Saccharomyces cerevisiae S288C: one gene and its partners. The protein of the gene in region 3 purifies or fractionates together with the protein of the main gene of each other region. This does not show direct contact. Each region holds a gene or a part of one and is shown on either strand. Other genes may lie near its edges.

Region 1 (6,478 bases), on a different chromosome or scaffold from region 3:
TCATCGCTTTTGCGCACCGGGTTCAGATCATTCAATTTTCTTACTTTTTTATTATGGGGTTCCTCCCTGAGTGTAATTTAACGTGTGCTTTCTTATTGCATTCGTTTACATTCCCTATTGCTCATTGCCCTTCTTTCAGTTGGGCATCTTTTTTTTTCACAATTAGGCCGCCCTTTTTTCCCAAATTGGCACTTGTTTGTACGATCTTTAGCTAGAACTTGGAGACCTGAAACGTGGTGATTCTTATATTTAAAGGAATACCGATCTTTTCCGTTTCAACACCCCAATTGTGAGAATTTTATTTCTTGCATTTCGGAAAATTTAGATACATTCACATCCATACTTGGACACATATATATATACAATATAATCATTGACACAGGCCATCGCCATTGAGTAAACTGTCTTTGAACTGTCTAAAGAACTTAGAACTATAGTGTTGTCCCAAGAAGTTAAAAATTGAACACTTGTGAGAATTATAAAACAGAGTAAGCAAAGAAAGAATAGAGAAACAATACTCCGCTACCGATTCTCCTTTTTTTCCTTATAAAAAAAGCTCGAGAATAATTACTTTATTCTTATCCCTCCACTCCTTTCAGGTATTCTTTACCGATTTGCATATCAATCATATAATGAGCACCGCATTCAACGATTACTGCACTGTTTGTGATCGTCTCATTCCAACATCTCCACAGAAAACGAACATTAATACCAGGAAGATCCAAAGGGACAATGAAACCAAGAGCAGTTTACAATCAAATAAGTTATATTGCTCCGAAGATTGTAAGCTGAAGGATTCGAACCCTCTTAATGAGAAATTATTATCCCACTTGCATAAAAAATCAAAAACTTCTCATTCGCATAATCTCACTCCACCGCTTTCATATTCTAAAAATTTAACTGCATCAAACCTCTTCGAGCCGACTACCTCACTATCTTCATCTCCGACATCTTCAACTATCCCCTTTGACGAGTTGGAGAAGCTAGAGTCCTTATTAATTTCACCATTGCTGCTACCTCAGGATGGTATAGTCAATCCTAAGCAGGAGTCTAATCCTTCTCGTGTTGACGAATATGATGAAAATGAACATTATTTGAACTTAGCCGACTCTCTTAGACTCGATTCTAGTTACCAATTGCATTCAAAGGCACATTTGGGTTACGAAAACAACTTGCCACGATCAAACGATCTAATTGATGATCATTTGATCTCAGATCAGATCATTGAGAATAACTACAACCTATGGTTTAGACTATCCTCCAGTTAAACGGCTTCACTTGCTTCGTATCTTCTTCGACTTGCCTTTAACCTACTCATGATTCATGCTTATTTTTTCTTTTTCGATTTCCTTTTCTAGTCATCCTAAAAAAAAAAAACCTACACATATACATATATACATAGTTCTCTACACATCCTTTTGATAAAGAAAATATGTACGTACATCTGCATTAAAAAAAAAAAACAAAACCCTCAATATTTGGGGAAAGAATTCTATAATGTAAACTGTATCACGCATACTTTTTGCTGTCTTCGTCTTCATACATATAATATTTTTAGTTTAAGGTGAAAGGATAATTAAAATATCAATTTCTAATATAACTACATACCACGGAACGCATTTTTGCTAGCTCTTCTTCTATTTTCGAATCTGGGCTTCGACCTACCATTGTCCTTCTTATTACCATTTTCGTCAATACCTTCTTCATCCGATGAATTATCATGACGCCTGGATTTATAATTTCCGTCTTTTTTGCTTTTTCTTTGAGGAATAAAAGTAAGTTCTGCTTCACCGCGTTGGTTACGACGTAAAATGGATTCATTTGATTTCTTTCCATTTTCCACCTCAAGCAATTCGCCTACTTGTTCGCCAAATGTAACGTGAGCACTTTCGTCTCTTTGCGTACTCGTGGAAGTGCCGGCTTTCATTTCGTTCATAAAACGTTCGCTTTGCTCCTTTTCCTTCTTTCTGCGTTCAATTAGTGCCTTTTGCTTTTCCATCTTTCTCAAATCTTTTTCACTTAATTCTTCCTTATTTGACTTTTGGTTCGTTTCATCATCAGATTCTTCTTCATCAGACTCTTCATCCTCGTAGTCATAGTGACCTCTGCCATCCTTCATTGCAATTCTTTCTTCGTCGGACTCTTCGGCAGCAGTTAGCGCCCTAATACGTTTAGCAGCACCTTCTTCGGTTTCTTTGATGGATTTTACTGGATTCAATTGTTTGAAATCATAGTCATCTTCATCGACTTGAAATTCTTCATCCTCAAACATTTCTTTGAAACGGTCATCCGTAAGAACCTTTCCTGCAACTTTATCACCACGTTTTTGAGATAGTTTATCAACCAATGTTTTATTGACTTTAATTTTAGGTTTTTGAACAGCCCCTGAACTTCTGATTCTGGATTCTCTTTCTTTCTCAATTCTACGTCTAATTTCTCTTTCTCTTTCATCTTTGTAGGCATCTGGATTAGCAATTAATGAAACCTTATCGTAAAGTTCAGTGTTAATAAAGAAACCATGCATGTATGCTCTTAATACTCTGGATCCCACCAAGTGCGTTAAATTCAATTTTTTAACGTCGTCTCTAGTAATGAACCTGTAGTTAGAGTAAACAGTGTCACTTGGTTTTTCTTCTAATTCTTCTGTGATAGAATCCAAGAATGAGCACCAGCGTGGAGATGGTCCTAAACTTGGAATATAATATGTATGCATGGGAATACTTTCGTTAGCGGTGAAAAACATACCTGTACCTGGTACATGCTCAATGTCGTTAATATCAACACTAGGCTCCATAGAAGCGTATGCCTTACCATCTAGTCTATCCCATATTTTTGCAATTCTCTTGTCACATGTAACAATTTTATTTTCCGTGCCGACGTTATCCAACCAAATAATTTTCTTAATGTCAAACCCATAACCTTGGTCTTTAATAATGGAAGGTTCAGAAGTACGCAAGTCATAAATGTATGAATAACCGTTCGACGTACCACATGCAAAAGTTAACCCGTCATTACGGAAACTGGTTGTGGTGACTTGGAATGGTCTGTTGTCAATATTGTTCTCTAAATATAGCTTTGAAACACGGGAACGCGACCTTGGATCCCAGAATTCCACTACATTTGTTTCCGTGCCTGCCGCTAACAACCCATTTACTTCATTGATAGAAACATGGTTCACGCCTTCAGTATCCAACTTGAATGGGTTTAAAAATCTCCCCTTTTCCAAGTTCAACCTGTATAACTCATTACCGCTCGCACCAACATATAAATCACAGTTTACCTTATTGTAAACTAAACTTCTCCCAAATTTAGGAATTCTTGTGGTGTAATGTAGACCACCTTTGTTTTGGAATTGAATACTTCTATCATTTTGTAAATGTACACTTTTAGTCCAATCGTCAGAGAGAATAGTGAAATCCACGTTTTCAGCATCTGTGTGTCTATCGAACTTCAGTGACAAATTAGCAAAATCGTAGACATGGATCTGAGGTTTGTATGTACCGGTAGCCATGCAATATTGCCCATCTCTACTCACTTTAATCTTATTGGAGGCTTCGCTAAATTCAAAATCTTGAATCAGTTCTACTCTATTTTGATATTCTAAATCATTCTTTAATTGCCTTTTGCGCTTTTTCGCAATCCAGTCTGGAAGTGATCTTGAAACGTTTGTACCAGAAACCTGATATACTGAAACATCATTTGCGGAAGTAGATTTCAAAACCATAATGTCCCCTTTTTGAAGATATATGTTGATACCTGTAACTGATGTAATAAATGATGTGTTACTGATTACAGCCGATGAGATGAGATGAGCTTAGCTCAAAATTTTCAATTTTTTTTTTTCTTAATTTTTTTTAAGATCATATTTGGTTACCCGACCATGAAGTGACATTTGAAGAATTGATTTATATTTTTAATATTGCAAGATGTGCGAAAACTCACCATTACAGAGATAACTAAAAGTCTTATCTCATCACTATCGGATCTTTCCACTTAGTATTTTCTACGGTTAATTTAAAAATCAATAATAAAACAAAATCATCAGCGAAAATTGTGTATATAGCGTGTATAAAAAATATATAAATCTTTAAAAGCATACCTCATTAAAAGCCTAAGCAGCAAAGTGTTTCAAAATTTGCTCAGCAGCATGAACACCACTCAAAGCCATAGCTCCAAAAGTTGGACCCATACGGTTTAATCCATCCAGTTCAGCAACTTCCATACCAGCAAAGTACATGTTGTCAACACCGGCGTATGCACCAGAGTGAATAACGACATCGTGTTCGGCATGGTTCATGTCCAGACCCTTCATACCGCCCAATTTTTGGTTTTGATCAATGTCGACGATTCTCTTGGCGCAGAAAGCACCAAATGGACCATCATGACCGGTAGTGGATAAAATGACACCATGCTTTTGACTCAAGTCACGAGTTCCGTCATTTTTGTAACCTGCCAATTCAATTACGTTAGGGTCCATGCAACATTGAGTACCGTGAGCTTGGGTAACTAACGTCCAGTTGGTGACAACACCAGCAACGGTGACTTCGCCCTTTTCGGTAGGTGGTCTGGTAACCAAATCTTCAACACAGGTAGCATTGAACAGTTTAACATTTGGTAATTGCAAGACCTTTGAAAGGACAGTAGAGATGAACAAAGCGGCATGCTTAACGACAACATAGTCACCTTCGTCTTCGTAAGGGATTTCCAACTCTTGTAAGAACAAATGAGCTGGTTTTCTCATAACCATGGCACTAAATAATTGACCACCCAACCAACTACCACCACCTGGTGCAACTGAACTTTCGATAATACAAACCTTCAAGTCTGGTCTGTTCTTGGCGATGACGTAAGCGGCGGATAAACCTGAAGAGCCCGCACCGACAATAATCACGTCAGAAACGGCAAACTTGTCAAGATCCTTGAAATAACGAGAAGTCATAGCACGAGAGACAGTGGATTCGCGGATGGGAGCAAATTTAAAGTCAGACCAATCTTCTTTCTTAACGATGTCAGATAAGCAGTGAGTAACTGGAGTAGAGTTTAAGTGCAATTGAGAGGCACTTGTGGAAGTAGCAGTAGAGGTAGCAGACATTTTGATAGTTAGTTGATTTTTTTGGTTGTGATTTATTATTTCTAGATGATAAGAAAGAGAACATAAAAGATATTTCCCGACTACTTAATACACAATTTATTCCAATATTTATATATCTGGGTAGTTCATAAATTGAAAATCAAAAAATCAATTTCATGATCCATTTCTATTAGTGCTCGTAAAAAAATTTACGATTGAACTTGGTAACTGATAGAATACCAGATTCTTTACTATCAATTATGTATGTTTTTTAACGTGCATAATTATTAAAAGACCATTTGATTTTAAAAATGACGTTAGGAGATCGGACATTTTATGAAAACTTCAGAAAAAGGGCTTAAAGTAGAGTATCGTTTTGGACGTCTACAGGAAAATGGGGTGGTAAATGTTCTTGGCGTAAAAAAAAACTATTCACTAAAGCAATTGAGTGCCGATCCCTGTTGAGGAATGCTCATAAAGAGAAAGTATCAGAATTATTCCCCGCCGTAAATTTGTAAAAAAAGGGTAAAAAACGGTTAATCCTGAAGGGGCTTGGAAAGCTCGCCAGCTTCTTGTAATTCTTGACGCCACATATAGCAATCACTAACGAAGAAGTTGACTTTTTAGGGGGTTGATAAGCATTTTTCCCACCCATTTGCATCAGTTAATGTCAATTCAGTCATGATTTGCAAGATATTAGGAGAAAAAGTATGAAAATTAAAAAAGTAATCTTGAGCGGTACGAGAATCGAACCCGTGTCCCCACCTTGGAAGGGTGGGATGATAACCACTACACTAACCGCCCGGGGTTAACTTGAAAGCTCTAAAAGCTCGTTTTCCATATATAGGCATGTTACAATTCCTTTCCATTCTTTCCATTTTATCCATTATCTGATGCATTTCCCTGATAGAATAAGAACAAACTACCATCCATCGATTAGTATTCATGTCACTAGTATATTAATTATCATTTATGATGTAAAAAGAGGACATAAAAGTTATAGAACAGTCATTAGGTTTAATAAAAGCTTAAATAAGAGGATCGATGAAATAGTAGGATAGTGAAACATATAAAATGGAAAAGAAATAATAATACTATTAGGTAGATATATTGATTCCCTTTGGATTCCTGTATCTTGCAGAAGAACTTTCAACATTTTTTCTATACGCAATATCGTAGCCTGTAACAATAATTGTTGGGATTCCATTATTGATAAAGCAATAATGTTAGGTATGTAGGATATACTAGAATTTCTACTCGAGGGTATAGGAATCCTCAAAATAGAATCGAAATTTCTACATAATAATTGAAGAGAGTGTGGGTTCTGATGTAATTGTTGGGATTCCATTGTGATTAAGGCTATAATATTAGGTATGTAGATATACTAGAAGTTCTCCTCAAGGATTT
Region 2 (4,200 bases), on a different chromosome or scaffold from region 3:
TGACCTCCATGAGTCGATAAGACCAGTGGATTATAGGCGCAAGTCACAACAGAGGTGTGACATCCTTTCCAAAGATCAAAGTCATTGCCTGATCTGATAAGTTTTAGGATTTTTGTAACAAGGAAGCTCAATTCGGATTTTAGCAGCTGTTCATTGATATAAACTGGTGATCTTAAAGTCGCCAAAATGGTATGAAACTCATTACCCTTGGCAATTTCCAGGTTTCTAGCCAAAGTAGAAACTGCGATAAATTCCTCTGACATGCTCAAATTTTGTCTATACTTAGTTTGATAACTGGAAAACCACAAAAATTGAATAGTAGTATTGCATCTATTTTTTACTACATTTTATTATAGTTTAATATTGAAAAATTTTCTTGCGATGACCCGTCTCAAATGATGAAGACAACGTAATCTTTTGAAAATTAATAGCTGCATCAATCAGTGCTTCTCATGTGAAACTTTTCTTTGTATATACTTAAATATATTTAAAATGCTTGATCAATCTTTGTATTCCGATGCGTCGACAAATTCGTCACTTTCTCCATTTGCATAAACAATTGAATCTGGTTCAAGCTTTTCAACAGGCGATGCTTGATCCTGCAAAGGATTACTAATTACATTTGAATGCTCTATAACTTCTATTTCATCATCTTCACCCTCTTGCATAGATAGTTGTGCAAGATCCTCTCTCAATTTTGCTTGCCTCCTCAACATTTCTAATCTACCTTGTATACCGAGTAGAACAGGCAAGATCTCCTCTGAAGATCTTAATGCAGATTTTAAATGCTTGCAATTTTTCTTTGTATGTTTATCCTTTATAGAATTTAACTCCCCACTTTTCAAAGTCAGCAACCACTTAAGCCACAACGGAAGTAAATTTTCTTCATTCCATGGATTTTGTGTTATTGACTTTGATATAGTCAAAAATATCTTACTTAGATGATCTACTGTATTGATCTTGGTTAAGATGAATTTTTTAATCTCTGGTTCTGTCCAACTTCCAGACATCAGATCATCCAATATTTCTGTTGAATTAGCTTCTAAATGCGATGAGAGAATATTAGCAATTTCAACTTGATCTGATTTACTAACTTTCTTGTTTATCTTAGTTTCAGTCTCCTTCTTCTCATGTTGAACTTCAGGCTGAGCTTCTTCTTCTTTCTCTTCTAATTTCTTTTGGTCCGCTTCATCAGCATTATTTTTTTCATTTTTGTTTATTGTAATATACCCCTGAGTTTCAATTTCTTTTAAAGAAATAGATTCAAAGTTGGGTTCATTGACATTTAGCCATGAAATTAGAACCTGTTGCTTGCTGTTTATTGGCGTGAAATCTATAATTTCCAAATCTTCATTTACAACTATAGAACAAACTTTGTCGGCTTCGCCAATCTTATAATTATTAATTTTACCATCAGTAGTCAAAGCCATTATCAAATCATCTAAAGTTTTCAATGTCTTCACTTGGACAGGCCATGATTGGATCAGCTTTGAATCTTCCTTCAAGTCGTAAGCTATTAATTCTTCGTTGTTGGCAATTAACAGATACTTACCGTCTGAAGAAAATTCACATGCTACAGCGTCTGATATTTCAAAACTATACTTAGTAGAGGGTCTTCTCTTTGATGGATCAACAATATAAACCATCTGTTTAGTAATAATGCATACCAATAAAGTGCCATTTTGGTGCAAAATTTGGAAATGAACTATTTCGTCATCTTTACCATCAACTAGCGTAAAAGTCTTTAGAGGTTTCGAATTGTTATACTGTAATTTCTTAACGACTTTATCACTATCCAAAATCCATATATCAGACTCGTCTGTGTCTGCTCCCAAAATCTCTTTTTTATTCTTGATGATATTAACTATATCCTTACCATTAGAAGAGTAAACAACAATTCTTCCGTCAGGAAATCCGTTAACGAAAAAGTTTTCACATCTTTGCTCACTTGATTCACCAGTTCCTTCATCTTCATCTAATTTTCTTTTGATATTGGATGACTGCGTATCTATCAAATCACTACACCACCCAAAGAAGATTACATCTGAAACCTTCATATCGTTTGTCTCATAGTCAATATGACTCACTAATGAACTATTGACCACATAATCCTTAGTTTCATTTAATGGATAAATATCCACATTGTTCTTTTGTGCGACGCTTGCTTGGAATGCAAAACGAGTGGAATCATGCGAGAAGCTCGCCACCAAATCCAAAGAGGAGCCCATTGTGCACTACGGTATGTATATACGTGGAGAATGCCCGGCGTTATATATTGCAACGGAGTACTAATATGTATTTCAACTACATAAAGTTACTTGAAAACTCCATCTCATCGTTAAATTTTTCAAAATTTTTCATGTTTTCTTCTCACCTTTAGAAGAAAAAAATTTTCGCACCTCGTTGTAAGTGACGATGATAACCGAGATGACGGAAATATAGTACATTAGTATCTAAATGGTTGAGAGTATGCTTGTTCAGTGTTCACTTGTGCATCTAGATTACTAGATTTTGTGGGAGATACTTGTATATGCAACAATGATGAAGGCTGGTTTAACGACTTAAGGTCTATCGAGCCCTTGAATGATATGGGGAATGATGTACTTGATTTAAGGGAAGAGGTTGTTCTGGTATCCCGTGAGAGAGAGTCAGGCTCTGCAGTACTTTCCTTTCGGCATTTACTCTGCGACTCAACTTCTGAACTGGAGCTGCAATCCTTTTCCCGGTTATTATCATCCTCACCGTCTGCTTCTCCATTCGGTTCATTTTTGTCTTCTTCCAATTGCTTTTCCAGGTGACAACCTAACAAATCTTCACTCCCTACTTGGTTTAGTGCATTTTCGCTCTTGCTTGTCAAATGGCTGTTACTGTGTTCCTCTTTGGAGGTAAACTCATGTTCCCCTTCCAAAACGTTCATGTCCTTATAGCTTAATATAATAGGTTCGGATCTATTTTTACCAAATTGCAATACTGCTCTTTCACCATCGTTGTAATGCTTCAGCCTCCTTTCGTTTTCAATAAGATCTACATTACAATCGTTATCCTTATCTTCTAGCGTGGTCTCGCGATCACCGTCCAGTACAGTCCACGCGATAGGTAGTAGAAAGGATAGGAGTAGTATAAGAACGTATATTCGTGTGTCCAATTCGCTGGATTGTCTGGAAATGAAATTAAATACTTTACGCCAGCTCAGTTCACCAGCGTCGGGTTGTTCCGCAGTTAAAGCCTCACGCTTATTATCTACCAAGTTTTTCAACCTATCTATAGTGAAAATTAACTCATAGTCCACTTTCTGGGGCTCTATCCATCCCTGTCTTTCCAAATGCTTACGAACTGTTTTTTCAACACCTTTCAAAACGGCTACAGAAAGACCTAACGAAAAGATTCCACGAACCAATGGGGGACGAGTCATGCTTATTATATTTTACAATTATATTTGTAGCTTTTTTGATATTATGCACACACGCAAACGCAACAGTTGTTGGTTCCAATTTTTGTTTGGTTTAATTCCTTCTCTTCCCACACACTCTCTCACTCACAAAAATCTGGACAGAAGAAGCCTCACCTTTTTGTTTTGCAGCTCCTCTTCCCCTTCTCTCCTTCATAAGGGGGTGGGTCCTGATATTTTTCGTCTATTTTTTTTCAAATAGGATTTTCCGCAGTGTAGAAAGAAGAAAGATGCGTCACAAATTAGATAAACTGATAGAAAGAACGATGCTATGTAAATGCATATGTACAGAAAGTGACAGGAGTAGGTATTCCTCACGCGATAGCACCGAGACTCATCAAAATCACCTGGAGTATAAGTTGCAGTGACCAAAAGCCCACCCTTCTCAAGCGTAATGTCCTCTTTTCATCGTCAGCGACGTAGTCGGCGAAGGCATCGTACGCTTCCGCACTTAGATCCCGCATAAGGTATGAATCATATATGGTCCAGGAGCCCTCAAAATCAGACTTTTTCTTTACAATGCGGCATTTGATTGGGATGTATGTCCTGTGAGAATTGATGTACCCGACAATAGGCCTTATCAATGCACTATTGATATACGTTAAGCCAGAAGTGAACAGAGGGACTTCGGCTTTGACATTGTATAGTCTTAAAGAAAAGTCCATAATAAAGTAGTCGTTCGGGTCAATTTCATCAACGGCCGGGGAGAATCCTGGCCCAACCAGAGGAAGGGATGAAGTGTACCTTTTCGC
Region 3 (6,213 bases):
AATCCGCTGTGGTTGTATAGCATGGAGTTATACCATTTTTTTCAAGGAATTTATGGAGAGTTCTGTTAGTATACTCAGAACCACGGTCCATTTGTATAACCAAGACACTGGCCTGAAACTGGTTCTTAATAAAAGCTAGTATCGTAGTAAAAACATCGAGGATAGAGTCCTCGCGACGGTCGTGTAATGGATAAACCCAACGGAATTTTGTTGTCTCATCAGTAAATGAGATGAAATAGGATGGTGCACTATTTGGTAGGTTGTGAACTGGACCAAATATGTCAGTATGTAGGTATTGAAAGGGTTCGTATGAATTTTGGTATTTTAGTCGTGAACCTTTGATATGTCTGTGTTTGGTGCTTTTGCCGATTAAACAATCAGGACATTGATAGTCAATAGCACTAGACCAGTCGACATCTGATTCGTTAAAATACGTGATGGTGTTATTTTTAAGTGAGTATCGAATTGTCTGTGCATTGGCATGCGCAAGCATTCGATGAATGAAAGGATAAGGATATTTGCGTGTACTTTCACTTGTATGGACATTATTGATGGTGGGTACGGAGATATTTGATGGAAGCAAGTACCTTTTAGATACCCAGTAAAAGTCTCCATATTGTACGATAGGTGCAAGTACAGTGCCGTCAGATCGTTCTAAGACGTTTTTGGTAAAGCATGCTGTGATATCTACTGCAGCCAATTCATTCAAACTGAGTAAGTCATAGGCTATGTTAGGAGTGTGCAATACCTTTATTGATGTTTTGGTGTTGTCCTGGAAGTGAAATTGTAGGTCACCAATAGCGTTAATTGGTATATTTCTTTTTTGAGCATCAACTACGTTTATGTCAGGATTAGATGATGCTGAGTGTATGTGATGAGCAGATCTTATAAGGGTTCGTGATGCTCCTGAATCGAGAAGGAGGTGTCCAGGGAGTTCATCATCAGAATGATTAGTGTGATTTACCGTAGATTCAGTAAGTTCCTGGCCTAAGGTGAAGGTCGTGCTTATTGTTCAATTGAATCGGTTCAGTAGTTGATTTACTGATGGAATCGTTGTCCGTGCTGGGAGAGTTATTAGATGTGGATACATTGTGAGCCCTGGCTGTTTTCGATTTCGAATTATTTGTTTTTTGAGGATTCCGAGCTATAACTTTGGGTTTGGTTGTATTCGTATAGCTGCGAGAATCATTCTTCTCATCACTCAGATTTCTCCTGTAATTAGGTTTGCTGTTTCTCGATCCCTGTTGTTCTTCATAAATAGCATGGATATCTAAGAACAGTTCAGCGACTGTCATATTTAGATGTCGATGACGTGTGTAGCGTAAAAATTTATATTCGCCAGATAGACCTCTCATAATTAATTGGCATGCGACCTTGTTATTGATATGAATGCCATTATTGTTCAGTCTGTCGATAATGTTTGTGACTTTTGTTTCAAATGCATCTGCAGGTGTACTGCCATTATATTGCAAATTTGCCAGGGTCACAATGTCGTTTGCCTCTTGGGTATCAGATTGCATTTTTTCAATACTTTTGGAAAGAATTTTCATGATATCCGTATAATCAACGGATAGGATGTCTTTGACCCAGGTAGGTAGGAATTGAGAGGGAGCAAATATTTGAAAAGTGTTATACAAGAAGGTGAGTTCATCATCAGTGATCTGACGTACGGGTTTTCCGTTTACTGTCGGAATAATACCACCGAGATTCGAGTTTTGTAAAAATTTGATGTATGTTTTAACCCAATTTGGAAAGTCATTAGGTGAGGTTAACATTGGTGGTGGTCTGACATATTTTTTAGTGGATGTCATATCAGAGTCCGCTGAGGATGAATCAGTAAATGTATTACCTGACTCAGGTGATGGAGTGCTCAGAGGCGTTCCAACTGATGATGGATACTGCGGAAACTGTGATTGTGGCCCAGGTGGAAAGTACATAGGCGACATTTGATAAGGTGTATACGGAATCATAGATGGGTGTCCGTAAAATGACCAACCAGATGGATTGGCTTGGTTTTGGGTCATCATGCACTGCTGTGGGTACGGCCCATTCTGTGGAGGTGGTACTGAAGCAGGTTGAGGAGAGGCATGATGGGGGTTCTCTGGAACAGCTGATGAAGCAGGTGTTGTTGTCTGTTGAGAGTTAGCCTTAGTGGAAGCCTTCTCACATTCTTCTGTTTTGGAAGCTGAAACGTCTAACGGATCTTGATTTGTGTGGACTTCCTTAGAAGTAACCGAAGCACAGGCGCTACCATGAGAAATGGGTGAATGTTGAGATAATTGTTGGGATTCCATTGTTGATAAAGGCTATAATATTAGGTATACAGAATATACTAGAAGTTCTCCTCAAGGATTTAGGAATCCATAAAAGGGAATCTGCAATTCTACACAATTCTATAAATATTATTATCATCATTTTATATGTTTATATTCATTGATCCTATTACATTATCAATCCTTGCGTTTCAGCTTCCACTAATTTAGATGACTATTTCTCATCATTTGCGTCATCTTCTAACACCGTATATGATAATATACTAGTAATGTAAATACTAGTTAGTAGATGATAGTTGATTTCTATTCCAACATGCTTCAACAATCTCGGAAGCATCGCTCAGAAGCGCAAATACAACTCTGTGTCTACTATGCCAAGAGAGGACGATTGAAATCTGCTAATAGCCCTATATCCAAAGATTAGCAATATGAGCCGGGCCAAATATCCCAGATGAGGCTACCGATCATTATTGACGTTCCGAAATTTTTCAGTTACAGAAAAAATTTCATCTCATCTCATCTCAAATTCATCATTAGCATAATGGTACAAATAATAAATATCACATAACTGTGGGTCCGGAATATTTTTCAAGACATTTCAGCGGATCGTATAAGGTTGCAAGAAAAATTGAAGATGGCTGGAGAGAACCCAAAGAAGGAAGGTGTAGATGCTAGGTTTGCCGGGATCTACAGCGATCCTAAATTTAAGAACACGAAAACCAAAGATCATAAGATCAAGTTAGATTCTAGGTTCAGTAAGAAGGATCTGGAGGTCCAGCATAAATCTAAGGTTGACAAGTATGGTAGAAAGATCAAAAATGCGCAGAATAACAGGGAATTGGAAGATTTCGACAAATATTTCGAAAAGGAAGCAGAAAATGATGAAGATTCAGAAGTTAATGCGAAAACAGTAGTGGACCGTGCCCGTGGTGAAGTTCCTGATGATTATGTTAGCTCTTCTGATGAATTCACTTCTTCTGATTCTGAATCGTCCGGAGAAAGTGAAGTTGAAAGCGAAGAAGAAAATGAAGTAGAAATTGAAAATGCCAAACCAGAATCTGGTGACATCTCTAAGAATTTGGCCGTCGTAAATTTAGATTGGGACCATGTTAAATCTGAGGATTTGATGATTACCTTTTCCAGTTTCGTTCCTAAAGGTGGTAAAATTGAAAGAGTTGCTATTTATCCAAGTGAATTTGGTAAAGAAAGAATGCAACGCGAGGAAGTTGAAGGACCTCCAAAGGAACTTTTCCAAAAGAAAAATAAGAACAAAACCTCCAAAAAGAAGAAAACTGATGACTCTGATTCTGATATGGACATCGGTATTAAGGATCTTTATGAAGAGGGAGATGCTGACAAGGACGTGGATTCCAGAGCTTTACGTCAATACCAGTTGGACAGATTAAGATATTATTACGCAATAGTTTATTGTAGTGATACAACCACCTCCAAAGCTATCTATGATAACTGTGATGGTACCGAATATGAGTCAACCGCTAATATGTTCGATTTAAGGTATGTTCCTGATGGTATGACTTTTGATGATGATGTAAGAGATGAATGCAGTATATTGCCTAAGAACTATAGGCCACACCAGTTTAGCACAGATGCTCTACAACATTCAAGCGTCAAATTGACCTGGGATGAAACGCCAGCTGATAGGGTCGAAGTTGCTAAGAGGGCCTTTACCCAAAAGGAAATTGATGATATGGACTTTAAGGCTTACTTGGCGTCAGATAGTGATGAATCGGATGGGCAGGTCGATGAAGAGGCGAAAAATAAACTAAAGTCGTTGGTTGGTGACTTTGGGTTTAATTCCAAGAAAGAAACCCCTAACGATGAAGATGAAGAAGTTGATATGGAAATTACATTTACTCCAGCCTTGGAAGGAGGAAACGAGAAATCGTCGGAAGACAAAGAAGAAACGACTATAGAGAAAATAAGAAGAAAAGAGAAGGAACGTCGTAAAGCAAGAAAGCAGAAAGTAAAGGAATTGAAACAGCAGTCGGAGAAGGATAAGAAAAGCAAGTTGAAATCTGTTAATAAAAAGCATACTAACGATGAAGAGGAGATCGAAAAGAATGCCAAATCAAAGGCTGAATTGGAGCTTTTAATGGATGATGATGATGATACCGAAACTCAGGGCACAATAAATAACAAAGCACATTTCAACATGAACGAAATCTTAAGATCAGAAAAAGAAAAACACAAGAAAGGCCGGTATCAAAAGAAAGAGAGAATTGTTGAAGACACCTTTACACCTGATTTAGAAGATCCTAGATTTAAAGAAGTCTTCGAAGATCACGATTTTGCTATCGACCCGACCCAGCCTGAATTCAAAGGTACACAAGCTATGAGTAAAATCCTAAAAGAACGTAGTAAACGTGTTAAGAATAAGAAAAGAAAACTTGGCGGTAGTGAAAACAATATGACCAATAACGCAGATGATAATGAAGATATTGGTAACTTGGTAAACAAGTTGAAAAAGAAAAGCAAATCATCCAAGAAGGTAAAGGTTTAAAGCAGTCAATGAAATAGTATTTAAATGAAACTTGAATACAAATAGATATGTACAATTATAAAGAATGCATCATTGGATTTGTAGTTGATATCAATTATCGTAATGTTTCTCTGACCGGTTCTTGTAATACCATTTCTTTGAATTTTCTTTTTTGTATTTTGTCTTATTTACGAGGGAGTACTGTGTCCTTGCTAGAGATGAGGTAAAAAAAAAATCTTGAAATTTTTCCTTTATTTTTGGCCAAATAGTGCAACAAACACGGCATGTACTTTGAAGAGCAGATGAAATGGGTTTAGTAGACGGTTATGACACAAGCTCAGACTCTGATTTGAACTTCGACGAAGGCAAATCTGTTCATGAAAAGAAAAATGGTAATTTGCATGAAGATACTTCGTATGAACCTTCTTCAAATAATATTCATAAGAGAAAATCACATTTTACAAAGTCAGAACTAAAAAGAAGACGGAAAACTCGCAAAGGAGATGGGCCGTGGGGCAGTTGGTCAAGTAGTGACGATGAAACTTCACAAGCCAGCGAAACTCAGAAAGAAGATCAGGATATCTTCGTGCACGCGCTGGCTGAGGACAACCTAGATTCGGAACAGATAGAGGTAGAGGAAGTCTCCCATTTTTATGGTAAATCAGAAAAGGACTATCAAGGCAGAGGATATTTATATCCACCAAATGACGTCGATGTTGATCTTCGTGAGGAAAGGATATCCTTTCGGTGTTACTTACCAAAAAAAGTTATACGTAATTATCCGGGGCATCCAGAAGGAACCACTGCCCTGAAATTCTTACCTAAAACTGGACACTTAATTCTCTCTGGTGGTAATGATCATACTATAAAAATTTGGGATTTCTACCATGACTATGAATGCCTACGAGATTTTCAAGGTCATAACAAGCCTATTAAAGCATTACGATTCACCGAAGACTGTCAATCTTTTTTGAGCTCTTCCTTTGATAGAAGCGTTAAAATTTGGGATACTGAAACTGGTAAAGTGAAAACCAGGTTGCACCTTAATTCAACGCCTGCAGATGTTGAATCTCGGCCCACTAACCCACATGAGTTCATTGTAGGTTTATCGAATTCGAAAATATTACATTATGATGATCGTGTTTCAGAAAATCAAGGTCTTGTGCAGACATATGATCATCACCTAAGTAGCATTCTGGCTCTCAAGTATTTTCCCGATGGTTCGAAGTTTATTTCTTCTTCAGAGGATAAGACGGTAAGAATTTGGGAAAATCAGATCAATGTACCAATAAAACAAATAAGTGACACGGCTCAACATTCTATGCCATTTTTAAATGTACATCCGTCTCAGAACTATTTCTGTGCACAAAGCATGGATAATAGAATATATTCTTTCAGTTTGAAACCCAAATATAAGAGGCATCCAAAAAAGATATTTAA

What was found.
Region 1: the proteins of ESF1 (region 3) and ENP2 purify together in Saccharomyces cerevisiae (affinity purification with mass spectrometry, with the first as the bait; 3 studies listed by BioGRID). This does not show direct contact.
Region 2: the proteins of ESF1 (region 3) and UTP9 purify together in Saccharomyces cerevisiae (affinity purification with mass spectrometry, with the first as the bait; 2 studies listed by BioGRID). This does not show direct contact.

The regions. Positions count from the first base shown.
Region 1 is NC_001139.9:779,013-785,490, reverse strand, and holds ENP2 (ribosome biosynthesis protein ENP2), read right to left. Parts: upstream 3,725-6,478; coding exon 1,601-3,724; downstream 1-1,600. Other genes in the region: YGR146C-A (uncharacterized protein), read left to right, coding at 54-215; ECL1 (Ecl1p), read left to right, coding at 633-1,268; THI4 (thiamine thiazole synthase), read right to left, coding at 4,112-5,092. UniProt on the Saccharomyces cerevisiae protein: May be involved in rRNA-processing and ribosome biosynthesis.
Region 2 is NC_001140.6:489,959-494,158, reverse strand, and holds UTP9 (Utp9p), read right to left. Parts: upstream 2,229-4,200; coding exon 501-2,228; downstream 1-500. Other genes in the region: RIX1 (Rix1p), read right to left, coding at 1-263; NVJ1 (Nvj1p), read right to left, coding at 2,447-3,412; MDM31 (Mdm31p), read right to left, coding at 3,763-4,200. UniProt on the Saccharomyces cerevisiae protein: Involved in nucleolar processing of pre-18S ribosomal RNA. Required for optimal pre-ribosomal RNA transcription by RNA polymerase I together with a subset of U3 proteins required for transcription (t-UTPs).
Region 3 is NC_001136.10:1,203,078-1,209,290, reverse strand, and holds ESF1 (pre-rRNA-processing protein ESF1), read left to right. Parts: upstream 1-2,907; coding exon 2,908-4,794; downstream 4,795-6,213. Other genes in the region: YDR365W-A (gag protein), read right to left, coding at 972-2,294; CDC40 (Cdc40p), read left to right, coding at 5,081-6,213. UniProt on the Saccharomyces cerevisiae protein: Involved in the 18S rRNA synthesis. Required for the early cleavages at sites A0, A1 and A2.